Linked DNA regions of Saccharomyces cerevisiae S288C. Changing the gene in region 1 together with any one later gene gives a genetic interaction. Each region holds a gene or a part of one and is shown in the gene's direction. Other genes may lie near its edges.

Evidence for each region.
Region 2: mutations in CIT2 (region 1) and SYM1 impair growth when combined (synthetic growth defect), as found in Saccharomyces cerevisiae (one study listed by BioGRID).
Region 3: mutations in CIT2 (region 1) and YAT2 impair growth when combined (synthetic growth defect), as found in Saccharomyces cerevisiae (one study listed by BioGRID).
Region 4: mutations in CIT2 (region 1) and HSP78 impair growth when combined (synthetic growth defect), as found in Saccharomyces cerevisiae (one study listed by BioGRID).

Annotation. Positions count from the first base shown.
Region 1 is NC_001135.5:120,407-124,006, reverse strand, and holds CIT2 (citrate (Si)-synthase CIT2), read left to right. Parts: upstream 1-1,678; coding exon 1,679-3,061; downstream 3,062-3,600. Other genes in the region: YCR006C (uncharacterized protein), read left to right, coding at 1,004-1,477. UniProt on the Saccharomyces cerevisiae protein: Peroxisomal citrate synthase involved in the citrate homeostasis. Catalyzes the condensation of acetyl coenzyme A and oxaloacetate to form citrate. Citrate synthase is the rate-limiting enzyme of the tricarboxylic acid (TCA) cycle.
Region 2 is NC_001144.5:639,490-642,561, forward strand, and holds SYM1 (ethanol metabolism protein), read left to right. Parts: upstream 1-1,974; coding exon 1,975-2,568; downstream 2,569-3,072. Other genes in the region: YEF3 (translation elongation factor EF-3), read left to right, coding at 1-425; nucleobindin SSP120, read left to right, coding at 828-1,532. UniProt on the Saccharomyces cerevisiae protein: May be involved in cellular response to stress. Required to maintain mitochondrial DNA (mtDNA) integrity and stability. Required for ethanol metabolism and tolerance during heat shock.
Region 3 is NC_001137.3:200,647-205,529, forward strand, and holds YAT2 (carnitine O-acetyltransferase YAT2), read left to right. Parts: upstream 1-1,545; coding exon 1,546-4,317; downstream 4,318-4,883. Other genes in the region: SRB4 (Srb4p), read left to right, coding at 1-229; PRO3 (pyrroline-5-carboxylate reductase), read left to right, coding at 430-1,290; GCD11 (translation initiation factor eIF2 subunit gamma), read left to right, coding at 4,605-4,883. UniProt on the Saccharomyces cerevisiae protein: Carnitine O-acetyltransferase involved in the shutteling of acetyl-CoA in the cell.
Region 4 is NC_001136.10:971,242-975,911, reverse strand, and holds HSP78 (chaperone ATPase HSP78), read left to right. Parts: upstream 1-1,668; coding exon 1,669-4,104; downstream 4,105-4,670. Other genes in the region: YAP6 (Yap6p), read left to right, coding at 130-1,281; RKM4 (ribosomal lysine N-methyltransferase), read left to right, coding at 4,438-4,670. UniProt on the Saccharomyces cerevisiae protein: Required, in concert with mitochondrial Hsp70 (SSC1), for the dissociation, resolubilization and refolding of aggregates of damaged proteins in the mitochondrial matrix after heat stress.

The DNA of each region.
Region 1 (3,600 bases):
ACGAATGGTCTAGACTTATTCTCACAGTTTACCCGGAGGTCATCATTCTCTTTAATGACAATATTTACTCTGTCGTCACTTTCGTAATTGTTTCGTGTCTGTTTCGCAGTCCATTTGGAATGCGACAGTAAGTTAATTACAAGAAGTAGTAACAACAACTTAGCGATAATGTTTCTCATGTGTGACGCAGGGTTACTTTTGACTTAAAACGACCATTTTGCAGTTTTACTTCACGTTCGCAAACTTTCAATAACTGGCTGTTAATCTGGTCGTTAAGAAAAAGGTCAATGACGATGGCAGGGAAAATAGGGCTGTATCCCAGACTTCAGGCGCTGTTCTGCCGGGATTTTTCAAAGGAGGGCGTGTGGTCTAGAGGTATGATTCTCGCTTAGGGTGCGGGAGGTCCCGGGTTCGAGTCCCGGCTCGCCCCACATTGTTTTTACAATGTGTGGTGTCGCTACTGGCAGAAATGGTACGGCATTTATCTTTCCGACGTAAAACAAGTGTACTCAGGAGCAGTTTTTTTTTGCAATATGCTAAAACTCGTACAATAAACCAAGGCGCATGGCATGTTTGAACATTTACTCGTTATTTCGGAGGTTCCTCAGATGGCTGAATGGAGGTACAGATTATGATTTCTAGAAAACTGCAGCGGACTTTACAGAGTAAGCTGGAGAAGACCAATGTTAATGAAAACTTGAACTGCTGAAGTGTGATATTCAATGTATGAGATAATCCATTAAATCATCTACAGTTTAAAGACTGTAGGCTTACATGACCGTTTATCACTGCGATATTGGAGGAAGCGCTTCGGATCAATGGACCTTTTACTTAGCAGAGCGAAGGCTGAAAATCATGAACCCCAACAGCATGTGTGACCTCTCTTCTCACGCCTGGCAAGAAACCAAACTACGGCATACATTCAGCGCACCAAAAAGGAACTCCGTACTATTTACATTAAAAACAAGAAAATGTGTTGCCATTTCCGTAAAATGAATGGCCCATGTTCATACGCGTATGCAACCGTCTTATTTACACTCCGACTAATGTCCTTCTAATTACTGTGGAAGACGGCCGTATAAGCGTCCTTCTGTGGTTTAGATATGCTATACCGGCGGAACTTTGTTACACACGGCTCGCGCGAATCCTTAGGGGAAAACATTGCGCTGACTTTCCCCAGAGTTGTTGCCACAACATAAGCCGCTTTGGAGTGTTGAACAAATCCGTCCTTGGGTCATTCAATCAATGGCTTGGCGGTATCTCAAAAGAGCGCAAACTAATAGCGCGCACATTCGACGCATTTATCCGGTGGTCATCGACTAGGGGCGAAGAGGTCACGACCTATTTTTTCTTGCAGAAAAAAAGTGTGACCTTTTCCGTAGCTAGACGTCTATCAGGGCGTCAGCAATGGGAGGCACAGCGGAAAAACAATAACAATGGTAAGCGCAATTACCTTTTGAGCGTTACATTCGTATGAAATTGGTGACGTTAATCTAAAGATAGTCATGCTCTCAAAAGGGCCCATTATTCTCGACGTTGAGCGTATATAAGACTATTAAAACTTGGTTCTTTAGATATGGTGTTCGTTCCTCATTATTAAGTTTCAGGGAACAATATCAACACATATCATAACAGGTTCTCAAAACTTTTTGTTTTAATAATACTAGTAACAAGAAAAATGACAGTTCCTTATCTAAATTCAAACAGAAATGTTGCATCATATTTACAATCAAATTCAAGCCAAGAAAAGACTCTAAAAGAGAGATTTAGCGAAATCTACCCCATCCATGCTCAAGATGTAAGGCAATTCGTTAAAGAGCATGGCAAAACTAAAATTAGCGATGTTCTATTAGAACAGGTATATGGTGGTATGAGAGGTATTCCAGGGAGCGTATGGGAAGGTTCCGTTTTGGACCCAGAAGACGGTATTCGTTTCAGAGGTCGTACGATCGCCGACATTCAAAAGGACCTGCCCAAGGCAAAAGGAAGCTCACAACCACTACCAGAAGCTCTCTTTTGGTTATTGCTAACTGGCGAGGTTCCAACTCAAGCGCAAGTTGAAAACTTATCAGCTGATCTAATGTCAAGATCGGAACTACCTAGTCATGTCGTTCAACTTTTGGATAATTTACCAAAGGACTTACACCCAATGGCTCAATTCTCTATTGCTGTAACTGCCTTGGAAAGCGAGTCAAAGTTTGCTAAGGCTTATGCTCAAGGAATTTCCAAGCAAGATTATTGGAGTTATACTTTTGAAGATTCACTAGACTTGCTGGGTAAATTGCCAGTTATTGCAGCTAAAATTTATCGTAATGTATTCAAAGATGGCAAAATGGGTGAAGTGGACCCAAATGCCGATTATGCTAAAAATCTGGTCAACTTGATTGGTTCTAAGGATGAAGATTTCGTGGACTTGATGAGACTTTATTTAACCATTCATTCGGATCACGAAGGTGGTAATGTATCTGCACATACATCCCATCTTGTGGGCTCAGCACTATCATCACCTTATCTGTCCCTTGCATCAGGTTTGAACGGGTTGGCTGGCCCACTTCATGGGCGTGCTAATCAAGAAGTACTAGAATGGTTATTTGCACTTAAAGAAGAGGTAAATGATGACTACTCTAAAGATACGATCGAAAAATATTTATGGGATACTCTAAACTCAGGAAGAGTCATTCCCGGTTATGGTCATGCTGTGCTAAGGAAAACTGATCCTCGTTATATGGCTCAGCGTAAGTTTGCCATGGACCATTTTCCAGATTATGAATTATTCAAGTTAGTTTCATCAATATACGAGGTAGCACCTGGCGTATTGACTGAACATGGTAAAACCAAAAATCCATGGCCAAATGTAGATGCTCACTCTGGTGTCTTATTACAATATTATGGACTAAAAGAATCTTCTTTCTATACCGTTTTATTTGGCGTTTCAAGGGCATTTGGTATTCTTGCTCAATTGATCACTGATAGGGCCATCGGTGCTTCCATTGAAAGGCCAAAGTCCTATTCTACTGAGAAATACAAGGAATTGGTCAAAAACATTGAAAGCAAACTATAGTTGGATTACATCCTACTTTTACACCCCTCTGCATATTTTTCTTTCCTCATGACCATTTAGTATTTAGCACTTATTTAATACAATAATATATTCTTTTAACCATACACTATGATAATGATATTTATAATTAAGAAAATGAACGTTACTATTTCCTTCCTCGTTTTAGTTACATAAAATTTACTAATGGTTGGAAAATTGCGGAAGCTATCACGCGATAACTAGGTACACACGCATTATTTTTATAATCCCATTATTAATAAATCCGTTATGACCCTTTTAGTAATAACTTATTAAGAACCTCCGGGTAAAATACTGTACTGCGGGGAAAGAAGGCGCTTCCCCTTCTTGGAACTTAATATAAATAATAAATTTGCCTAAGGGCATTAGGCCTTACTGCCTTGGCTAGCGTACTTATTTCGATTCATACAATTTGCACTATTCCGGCAGCTAGTTGATACTATAACATCCTACATTTTTACTTGTTTTACGTTCATTTTTATTTGAAGTTTGTAAACTTTATCAGAAAGAAAACAAGAAGA
Region 2 (3,072 bases), on another chromosome or scaffold:
AGTTGGTCTTAGCTGCCGGTACATGGCAAAGACCTCACTTGATTGTCTTAGATGAACCTACCAACTATCTGGACAGAGATTCTTTGGGTGCTTTGTCTAAGGCTTTGAAGGAATTTGAAGGTGGTGTTATTATCATTACTCACTCTGCTGAATTCACAAAGAACTTGACTGAAGAAGTCTGGGCCGTCAAGGACGGTAGAATGACTCCATCTGGTCACAACTGGGTTAGTGGTCAAGGTGCTGGTCCAAGAATCGAAAAGAAGGAAGACGAAGAAGATAAATTCGATGCTATGGGTAACAAGATTGCCGGTGGTAAGAAGAAGAAGAAGTTGTCTTCTGCGGAATTGAGAAAGAAGAAGAAGGAAAGAATGAAGAAGAAGAAGGAATTGGGTGATGCTTACGTTTCTTCTGACGAAGAATTCTAATCTTTTTGATCACTGCTTTCACAGTTTTCTTTAAGATTTTTATTGATCAATAATTTATGTATATTTTAATTTCTATGTTTTTGTAATATTGTTTATTTTGGTAAAATATAGACGCAACTTCCTTATTATAAAGAAAGGCATTATTTAAAAGAAAAAGCGTTCCATTAGTCAGACATCTTTTTTTTTCATACATTCTTAAGCTCAGGCAAATTGAGCATTGCCTCATACCCTTTTCGGTAAGAGGGTAACGAAAATATTTTTTTGGAAGAATAAAAATAGGTGACGGATCATAGACTAGGAAGCTTTAAAACATGATTGAGCGTAATATTATATTCCTTCTAGAAAAGATAAAAGAGCCAAGACCTAAAATTTTTTCATCCCTGTTCTATTAAAATTGTGGAAATGAGGTTTTTGAGGGGATTTGTATTTTCTTTGGCTTTCACTCTATATAAAGTAACTGCCACGGCAGAAATAGGATCTGAAATTAATGTGGAAAATGAGGCACCACCTGATGGTTTATCCTGGGAGGAGTGGCATATGGACCATGAGCATCAGCTAAAAGATTACACTCCAGAGACTTTCTTCGCGTTACATGATATCAAGAAGAAAGGATTTTTAGATGAAAACGATATTCTATCTCTCTACGGGTTGAACCGTGAAGAAATTGTGGGGGCTGGTGATGGTATGGGACAACACGATGAATCTGAGAAAATTGACAATGAAATGGCTAAGCGTGTTGTTAGCCTTATTATGAGGTTATTGGATGTTGATGATAATACCAAAATCACCAAGGAGGAATATCTACAATTTGCTAAGAGAGGAAACAAGTTCCCTGACCTTGGCGTTGGTGTAGGTCACCACTCCGATTTTGAGCTAGAATATGAAATTCATCACTGGAATAAGTTTCATAAGGACAAAGATCCAGACGTTAAAGTCGTTCACAAAGAAGACATAGAACATGAATTGCTTCATCATGAACATGAAATTGAACATGAAGAAGAAATTCAAAGAGGCGCTTCTAGAGCTACTGTAATAACTGATGACGAACTAGAGTCTAGAATAGAGCTGAAAAATATTCCCGAGAAATTCAAAAATGGAATTTTTTAATGGACTTGGTCAAGATGAATAGTTGAGACTGAGAAAATATTCAAGACACTATGTATGTAGTCAATTAGCATGTAGTAAGTAATCAAAGCACTTAAAATATATTTTTACCATCGCATCGTTGTGATGCCTCTCCTTTGTGATTAACTATCTACTTTAAACGTTCTATTTTCTATGTTCTAATTACGTATGTATTGGTCTTTTCTCTCCGATGGTAACAAGAAGCGTTTCGGGAAACAGTGGCACCTCCTTGTCCCTTAAATGTCGAACTTTAACAGTATAAGTACAAAGTGAAAAAAAAAAAAAAATGGAAATATCTATGATAGTGATATGATAGAAGAGCTATTTGAATGCTATGTTGTCATATTTAGCCTTACAAAAGGGAAAAGGCAAACACAGTCTTTTGTTATTACTATAGGAAAGATAGAATTGATATTAAAACAGTATGAAGTTATTGCATTTATATGAAGCGAGCTTGAAGAGAAGGCCCAAAACTACGAATGCGATAATGACAGGTGCGCTATTTGGAATTGGTGATGTTTCTGCTCAATTGTTGTTTCCAACATCCAAAGTAAACAAGGGTTATGATTATAAAAGGACAGCTAGGGCTGTCATCTATGGTTCTTTAATTTTCTCCTTTATAGGTGACAAGTGGTACAAGATCTTGAACAACAAGATTTATATGCGTAACAGACCTCAGTACCACTGGTCTAATATGGTTTTACGGGTAGCTGTCGATCAATTGGCGTTTGCGCCGCTAGGTTTGCCATTTTATTTCACCTGTATGTCCATCATGGAAGGTAGATCATTTGACGTAGCTAAGTTGAAAATAAAAGAGCAATGGTGGCCTACACTTTTGACTAATTGGGCAGTTTGGCCACTTTTCCAAGCGATTAACTTTTCTGTTGTTCCTTTACAACATAGGTTACTAGCTGTTAATGTCGTTGCAATATTTTGGAACACTTACTTATCTTATAAAAACTCAAAGGTTATGGAGAAAGACAAGGTACCTGTTCATTATCCACCCGTGGTCGAATAACTGGATAAGAAATCCTGATTTTGAAAATATTTGGAATTCAACTAGCATATTTATCAGACCTTGTTCCTTGGGGTACTGGAACAGCATATACCTAATAGACTTTCGGCAGAGAGCAGACCAACTTCATAAATATTTGAGTCACCAAAGTTGGCTAGCAATCTGCTTTTCCTTTACAGATGTGCTTGGTCAGGAACAATTTATTTAATTACATTCGTACTTCTTTTATAGAGGAAATAGTAGCTAACATTTCACTATTGCGGTCATGCCTGTTGTTCTTCAGCTACCGTTTATGCAAAGGTGTTTAATTAGGTGTGAGACTTAAGTGGGCCTTTTAGTACCACTGTGGGTTCTGGACCTTTATATAATATTTCATTTTTTCAAAGGTTTTTTCATATGCCGTTAAAAGAGGTCAAAACATAGACCCGAGGAACATATCTTGTAAATCGCTGCGTTATGTATGCATATTGTACTCCTACCTTCGTAACTGGAAAGAATCAGTCTGAA
Region 3 (4,883 bases), on another chromosome or scaffold:
ACCTAGACGTGAACTCAAAATAAATCTACCATTAACTGAGCACAAAAGCCCTAATCTAAGTTTAATGCTCGAAAGTCCTAACTATTGTAACGCACTCATTCACATCAAGTTTTCAGCTGGTACGGAAGCCAACGCAGTGTCCTTTGACACAACATTTTCTGATTTTAAAGAAGTAGAGGACTTCCTACATTTTATTGTCGCTGAGTACATCCAGCAAAAGAAGGTGTAATATCCTGAGTCACTCCTTAAACCTACATACATTGCCATAGAATGCCATTTATTACTATATAAAGTCGCATACGTACAAAAGGACAAGATCTTATCTTCGAAAACAAGAATATGAAGGATTTAATAACATTGCCAGGTTAAGAACGGTGTAACAACAATAGAAGTAACACAACACCAATAGCAAACAAACCAACTACAGATATGACTTACACATTGGCAATTTTAGGCTGCGGTGTTATGGGCCAAGCACTTCTTTCCGCCATTTATAATGCTCCAAAGGCGGCTGATGAAACTGCTGCTGCATTTTACCCTTCCAAAATTATCACATGTAACCATGATGAACCTAGTGCACAACAAGTTACCGATCTAGTTGAGACATTCGACGAATCTCCTAACGGTATTAAAGTCGAAAGCACTTACGGTCACAACGTGAGCGCTGTCGAAGAAGCTTCTGTAGTTCTTCTTGGTACCAAGCCATTTTTGGCCGAAGAAGTGTTGAATGGTGTGAAGAGCGTCATTGGGGGAAAGCTACTTATTTCCCTGGCTGCTGGCTGGACAATTGACCAATTGAGTCAATACACTAGCACTGTTTGCCGTGTTATGACGAACACACCTGCCAAGTACGGATATGGTTGTGCGGTGGTGTCCTACTCAGCTGATGTTTCCAAAGAGCAAAAGCCACTGGTCAACGAATTGATTAGCCAAGTTGGTAAATACGTTGAGCTTCCAGAAAAGAACATGGATGCTGCTACGGCTTTAGTCGGTTCAGGCCCCGCTTTTGTTCTCTTGATGTTAGAATCCTTGATGGAGAGTGGGTTGAAATTGGGAATCCCATTACAAGAGAGTAAGGAGTGTGCCATGAAAGTTCTAGAAGGAACAGTGAAGATGGTTGAGAAAAGCGGTGCTCATCCATCCGTTTTAAAGCATCAAGTTTGCACACCAGGTGGTACAACTATTGCCGGGTTGTGCGTAATGGAAGAAAAGGGCGTCAAGAGCGGTATTATCAATGGTGTTGAAGAGGCAGCCCGTGTTGCGTCACAATTAGGCCAAAAGAAGAAATAGATTGCTTTGCGTGAAATGTATGTATGTTCGCTTTGTAGCCGTATATTATTTTTTTATTACTGACCTTGCATTTTTTCGTCATTTTCCCGTCGGTCCGATAATGAATCATCACGATGAATGACTACCCCATAATAATGACACTAATTGGAGCGTATAAAAGAAAAAAATTATATAAATGTGTTTGTAATGAGTAAGAGCAATTGATTCATTTGAAATGAAAATCAAAAATCAAAATTAAAATAAAACTAAGCAACCATGTCAAGCGGCAGTACTATTGTTTCGTCTGACAAGTCGGGGCGAACATTTAAGCATGAGGAAGAACTACCCAAGTTACCATTACCTAAACTCTGTGACACTTTGCAGCGTCTGAAGGAGAGTTTAGAGCCATTGTATTATGCTGATGGTTACTATCAACATCCTTTAGATCCAGAACAAATTGAGAAGCTGTCATCCATAATAAGAGATTTTGAAGAGAATCCCGTAAGTGAGAAGCTGCAATCTAAACTACAGAGCTACCATGACACTAGGGATTGCTACCTTGATGAATTACACTTAGACATCAATAACCAGACCTCCACTAGGGAGATTCAGGACGATGTCCTACCCAGGAATCCCTTCTTGGTTCTCGCAGATGACGCTTTGCCAAACATCACTCAAGCTGATAGGTCAGCCGTCCTAGTGCACTCTGCGGCCAGGTTTATTTCTGCTTTGAAACAAGATTTGTTGCCACCAGATATCAATGCCACCAATGGCAAACCACTGTCAATGGCTCCATTTCTGAACTTGTTCGGTACTACTCGTAGTCCTGTTTTTCAGCGCGGTGAGGTTGAAAATTTTGATTTGAACAAACCTTACACAGCATCTGATTTAGAAGACCCTGATTATTCAAGCGATGAGGACGATAACGACGAACCCACCCAAAAAGACTTTGATGACCGTAAAAGAAAACACGAAGAAGACATATTCACTGGCAATGGTATAACTATAAAAAGACATCCGGATAGCAAACACATCTTGATCATCTCCAGGGGCCAATACTATACACTGGAAGTACTTGATTCGACGAATAAAATTATATACACTGCTGCAGAATTAACCACAATTTTCAACCATATAATAAAAGATTCTTCTGGCATTGAAAAATCAACTGCGTTAGGTAGTTTGACCTCTCACTCTTTTAGAAACTGGAAATATGCAAGGAAGAGACTACAGAAAAGGTATCCTAATGAATTACATCGCATAGACTCTGCTCTGTTCGTGTTAGTGCTGGACGAATCACAAGAAGAAACTACCAATGATGGCGATGATACCGCTGATATCAGTCAAATGTTTAACAGGACTATCACTGAGCGAGACAAGAAATGTACTTCCGCCAATTGTAAGAGAGTGTTTTACGGTACTTCTATAATAAATAGCAAAGGCCATCAAGTGGGTTCATGTGTTTCTCGTTGGTATGATAAATTACAGTTAGTTGTCACTGCAGATGCAAAAGCCACAGTGATTTGGGATTCCTTCACATGTGACGGGTCAGTCGTGCTTCGGTTTACTTCTGAAATTTATACAGAATCAGTCTTGAGATTAGCTAGAGACGTTAACGCCGGTGACCCACAGTTTTCACTCTGGCCTAACGTGACACAAATGGATCCTGAAACTAAAAAACTGATGACGGCGACCATAAGTGCCGACGGCGGAGGCCCTTCTGAAATTGACCCTAAGTTGGTTGTAAATAAAATCGATTGGTCTTTCAGTAACATCCTGAACACACATGTCCATTTGTCAGAAACCAAACTAGCTGATCTGATTTCCAAGTATGATATTGTTCGCGCTTCTATTCCATTGGGCAGAAGGTCAGCTCAAAGATTAGGAGTCAAGCCCGATTCGATGGTTCAAGTAGCTTTACAAATAGCTCACTATGCTTTGTATGGAAGAATGGTGTTTGGATTAGAACCAGTATCCACACGTGGTTTCAAAAACTCGAGATCATCTTTTATTAACATTCAAAGTCAAGCGCTGTTGGAACTATGTCAATTGTTTATTTCTAGCTCCATTGATGGGACAGATAAATTAGACAAATTTATCCAAACCTGCGAAACACATAATAACATGGTTAAACATGCAAAGTCTGGGGTAGGTTATGAAAAACACTTCAATGCATTGAAATATCTCTTCAAATTTCATGACCATTTTGGTATCCACTTAAGTGGTGATGAATCATCTGCTGCGAAAGATCTTTTCGAAAATCCACTTGTTTTACCTTTCTCACAGCCTGAGTTGATTGTTGCCAACTGTGGTAATGCTGCTACCACGACATTTGGTATAACTCCTGCTGTACCTCATGGCTTTGGAATAGGGTACATCATTAAAGATGATCAAGTAGATTTGACCGTGACATCGCAATTTCGACAGGGTGACAGGTTAATGTTTATGTTAAGTTGGGTGTTAGGCGAAATTCGTTCCTACTGGAGGATGTCACGCGGCACTTCTCATAATAAAACTGGCGTGAAGATCAGTCCAGTGGTCGATAAATTGTATGAAATGGACAATGCAGTCAATAATCCTCCGAAACGTAACGGCCATACAGTCAATGGCTCCCGCAAAACATCTTCTTCATCACAGGTAAATTTGAACAGGTATGGCGGGTTTTTCGATTTGGAAGGCCACATTGACAGTAGGAATATATCTAAAACACCATCGATGAAGAATTTGCAGAAAACCTTCAATGGCTTGACCATGAGCGCAGACAATGATCATTCAAGTTCCGCAGTTTCCGTTCCCACAGAAAAGGAAAAATTAAATACAGGCCATGAAATTTTACAGATCCAACCGCGGGAAGTGGCAAGTAATGGGTTGGAAGCAGATGATGAGACAGATATTGAAATAGTTGCTGGCAATGCTGATGGCACATCCTCTTCGGCATCTTCAGCTACATCTCTAAATTCCAAGAAACGTAACGTCATCAACTCAAGATTCGATATTGATTTTGACCGCAGTCGTGTGGGTAGAAAGGTGGCGACCTTAGATCAATAAGAACGCTCTTTGTTTATCTATTTATTACTAGCATTATGCGTAAGCTTGGCGTGATGTGATATATACTTGTTATATGAAGTATATCAATATGCTTTAATTTATGCTTATTATTTGCTCTCATGTCAGTAACCCGGACCAGATTTGCCATTGAAAAAATTTTCATAGAATAGCCCGATGCTGATCATCAGTACAAAAGACAGAGATTTCATCTCGACCTGTACCAGGAGCTAAGCAAAGAGGGCGGAAAGAGCGTAATACACCGTTAACATCGCGCATTAGAGGTAGACATGAGTGACTTACAAGACCAAGAACCTAGCATTATTATCAACGGTAATTTGGAACCAGTTGGTGAACCAGATATCGTTGAAGAAACGGAAGTTGTAGCTCAAGAAACACAAGAAACACAAGATGCTGATAAGCCAAAGAAGAAAGTCGCCTTCACTGGCTTGGAAGAAGACGGGGAAACTGAAGAAGAAAAAAGGAAAAGGGAATTTGAAGAAGGTGGTGGTTTGCCCGAACAACCATTAAACCCTGATTTTTCAAAATTAAACCCACTATCCGCCGAA
Region 4 (4,670 bases), on another chromosome or scaffold:
TATTAAACACAATCTTTCCTCAAACTGTAACACCGAGTTTTTTTCCCCACCAATCGTGAATCCGATAGCATATACTTTTGTCTAGAAATTTCAATAAACAACAGAATAACGAAGAGTGCTAAGGGACAAATGCAAAACCCTCCGTTGATTCGTCCCGATATGTATAATCAGGGAAGCAGCTCAATGGCTACTTATAATGCCTCTGAGAAGAATCTAAATGAGCATCCTTCTCCGCAAATTGCACAGCCCAGCACGTCCCAAAAGTTACCTTATAGAATAAATCCTACAACCACTAATGGGGACACCGACATATCTGTTAACAGCAATCCTATCCAGCCTCCTTTGCCAAACTTGATGCATCTATCTGGTCCGTCTGACTATAGATCGATGCATCAAAGTCCTATACATCCATCTTATATCATCCCTCCGCATTCAAATGAAAGAAAACAATCAGCTTCTTACAACAGACCTCAAAATGCTCATGTTAGTATTCAACCTTCCGTGGTATTCCCCCCTAAAAGTTATTCCATATCTTATGCACCTTATCAAATAAATCCCCCTTTACCAAATGGACTTCCGAACCAGAGCATATCTTTGAATAAGGAGTATATTGCAGAGGAGCAACTATCAACCCTCCCATCTCGCAATACCAGTGTTACTACTGCACCTCCTTCTTTTCAAAACAGTGCTGATACCGCTAAAAATTCAGCTGATAATAATGATAATAATGATAATGTAACCAAACCTGTTCCTGATAAAGACACCCAACTCATAAGTAGTTCAGGCAAAACTTTAAGAAATACTAGAAGAGCTGCTCAAAATAGAACCGCTCAAAAGGCATTTAGACAAAGGAAAGAAAAATACATCAAGAATCTCGAACAAAAATCAAAGATATTTGACGATTTACTAGCAGAAAATAATAACTTCAAATCATTAAACGATTCATTAAGAAATGACAACAACATTTTAATAGCTCAGCATGAAGCTATAAGGAATGCAATTACTATGTTAAGAAGTGAGTATGATGTCTTATGTAACGAAAACAACATGTTGAAGAATGAGAATAGTATAATAAAAAATGAACACAACATGTCAAGAAATGAAAATGAAAACCTAAAACTTGAGAATAAACGCTTCCACGCTGAATATATACGAATGATCGAGGATATTGAAAATACTAAAAGAAAGGAACAAGAACAACGAGATGAAATAGAGCAACTAAAAAAAAAAATAAGATCCCTGGAGGAAATAGTAGGGAGACACTCGGATAGTGCCACGTAATACAATAAATAGGGAGCAGATATTGATCTCTAGTACTGGAAGATCAACTTTTTGCTTTGGCCTTATAGGTCATATAAATTTTAATAATTAATGTAACAGACAAATCAAGGTGTGATTCTGTTCTGATAAAATTTGTTATTTTCCAGAATGTTCTAGAAGTGTTCTTTCATCTAATGGCATCGCGTTTGAATAGGGGGTGCACGGACTTTTTTTTTTGAATAAACCCCTGTGATTCATTGTATCTAAGCTCATCAAACCCCCTAGTTACTGACTCACGCACACACATATATATACATATATATGCATATGTAAGCATGAAAAGTTTGACTTCTATTATCTATTCCAGGAACCCTGAAACAAGCGAGTGAAAATCTTTCAAGGTTAAATATGTTAAGACAAGCTACAAAAGCACCAATACAAAAATATTTACAGAGAACGCAACTATTAAGGCGAAGTACTCCACGAATATACACTATTGTACAGTGTAAAAGATCTATTTGCAGTTTTAATGCAAGACCTCGAGTAGCCAATAAACTTCTATCAGATATAAAAACAAATGCATTAAATGAAGTCGCTATTTCAACCTGCGCCCTCAAGAGCTCATATGGATTGCCCAATTTCAAAAGAACGTACGTCCAAATGAGGATGGATCCCAATCAGCAACCGGAAAAGCCAGCTTTAGAACAATTTGGTACAAACTTGACAAAATTAGCGCGCGACGGTAAATTAGACCCTGTCATTGGCAGAGACGAAGAAATCGCAAGAGCTATTCAAATTTTATCAAGAAGAACAAAAAATAATCCATGTTTGATCGGTCGAGCTGGTGTCGGTAAAACCGCCCTTATTGATGGGTTAGCTCAAAGAATTGTTGCTGGGGAGGTCCCTGACTCGTTGAAAGATAAAGATCTAGTAGCTTTGGATTTGGGATCTTTGATTGCTGGCGCCAAATATAGAGGTGAATTCGAAGAACGTTTAAAAAAGGTTTTAGAAGAAATTGACAAGGCCAATGGTAAGGTTATTGTTTTCATTGATGAAGTTCATATGCTGCTTGGCTTAGGTAAAACTGATGGTAGTATGGATGCTTCTAACATCTTAAAGCCAAAACTGGCCCGTGGGCTACGTTGTATCTCTGCAACCACTCTTGATGAATTCAAAATCATTGAAAAAGATCCGGCTTTATCGAGAAGGTTTCAGCCTATCTTATTGAATGAGCCGAGCGTCTCCGATACGATTTCTATACTAAGAGGTTTAAAAGAAAGGTACGAGGTTCATCATGGTGTAAGGATCACTGATACAGCTTTAGTGTCTGCTGCAGTTCTTTCAAATCGTTATATAACAGACAGGTTTCTACCTGATAAAGCCATTGATCTAGTTGACGAAGCTTGTGCTGTACTACGTTTACAACATGAATCCAAACCGGATGAAATACAGAAACTGGATCGTGCTATTATGAAAATACAAATAGAACTGGAATCTTTAAAGAAAGAGACCGACCCTGTTTCCGTGGAAAGAAGAGAAGCGTTGGAAAAGGACCTAGAAATGAAAAATGATGAATTAAACAGATTAACAAAAATATGGGACGCTGAAAGAGCTGAAATTGAATCTATCAAAAATGCTAAGGCAAATTTGGAACAAGCAAGAATTGAGTTGGAAAAGTGTCAGAGAGAGGGTGATTACACTAAAGCATCCGAGTTGCGATATTCCAGAATTCCTGACTTGGAGAAGAAGGTAGCTTTAAGCGAGAAGAGTAAGGACGGAGATAAAGTAAATTTACTTCATGATTCAGTTACTTCTGACGATATTTCTAAGGTTGTTGCCAAAATGACTGGTATTCCTACAGAAACGGTGATGAAAGGCGACAAGGACCGCCTACTGTATATGGAAAATTCTTTAAAAGAAAGAGTCGTTGGCCAAGACGAGGCCATTGCTGCTATTTCTGATGCTGTACGTCTTCAAAGGGCTGGTTTGACCAGTGAAAAGAGACCTATTGCCAGCTTTATGTTCTTAGGTCCTACTGGTACTGGTAAAACAGAATTGACCAAGGCTTTAGCTGAATTCCTATTTGATGACGAATCAAATGTGATTCGTTTTGACATGTCAGAATTTCAAGAGAAGCATACTGTCTCTCGTTTAATCGGTGCACCTCCAGGTTACGTCTTAAGCGAATCTGGTGGCCAATTAACTGAGGCTGTCAGAAGAAAGCCTTATGCTGTCGTTTTATTTGATGAATTTGAAAAAGCGCACCCCGATGTTTCCAAACTACTGTTGCAAGTGTTGGATGAAGGTAAGCTGACCGATTCCCTAGGCCATCATGTTGATTTCCGTAACACGATCATTGTGATGACCTCAAACATTGGACAAGATATTTTATTAAACGACACAAAGTTGGGTGATGATGGTAAGATTGACACCGCAACCAAGAATAAAGTTATCGAAGCAATGAAAAGATCCTATCCACCTGAGTTCATCAATCGTATTGATGATATTCTAGTTTTCAATAGGCTATCCAAGAAAGTTTTGAGGTCAATTGTTGATATTAGAATTGCAGAAATTCAAGATCGTTTGGCCGAAAAAAGAATGAAAATTGATTTAACTGATGAAGCGAAGGATTGGCTAACTGACAAAGGCTACGATCAATTATATGGTGCAAGGCCATTGAATAGATTAATTCATAGACAGATTTTGAACTCCATGGCAACTTTCTTATTAAAAGGTCAAATTAGAAACGGCGAAACTGTTAGAGTGGTGGTTAAAGATACTAAGCTTGTCGTGCTACCAAATCATGAAGAAGGCGAAGTTGTTGAAGAGGAAGCTGAAAAGTAACTGCACAAGCGGTTTATGAATAATAAATTCCCAAGAAAATACATATATAAACATACACATTTCTCTTTTGTAAATAGAAGAATTAAAATAAAAGATTTTTGGTATCAAATAAACTGGATGAATGTTACATGTACCAAGTGCCCTGGCAATACAATAAAGCTATTGGTCTGGAAGTATTGATATTATTCAAATGTAATCTTCGAGAGTTACTGCGGGTAATACACACATGTGTCACATATTTTTCTCTCGAGTATGAAAAAATTTCATTACCTTTGTAAAAGCTTAATACGATCATTTCAATATGACTAGTAATAAAGGGGAAAGTTTGCGAAAATGGATGATTTTTCAAGAGATACCGAAAACTTTGTTTGCTGGTTAAAAACTACCGCTGAAATTGAAGTATCCCCTAAGATAGAAATCAAAGATCTTTGTTGTGATAATCAAGGCCGCGCAGTAGTTGCCACTCAAAAGATTAAGAAGGATGAAACATTGTTTAAAATACCTCGTAGTTCTGTTTTAAGCGTTACAACATCTCAACTGATAAAGGATTATCCTTCTCTCAAGGA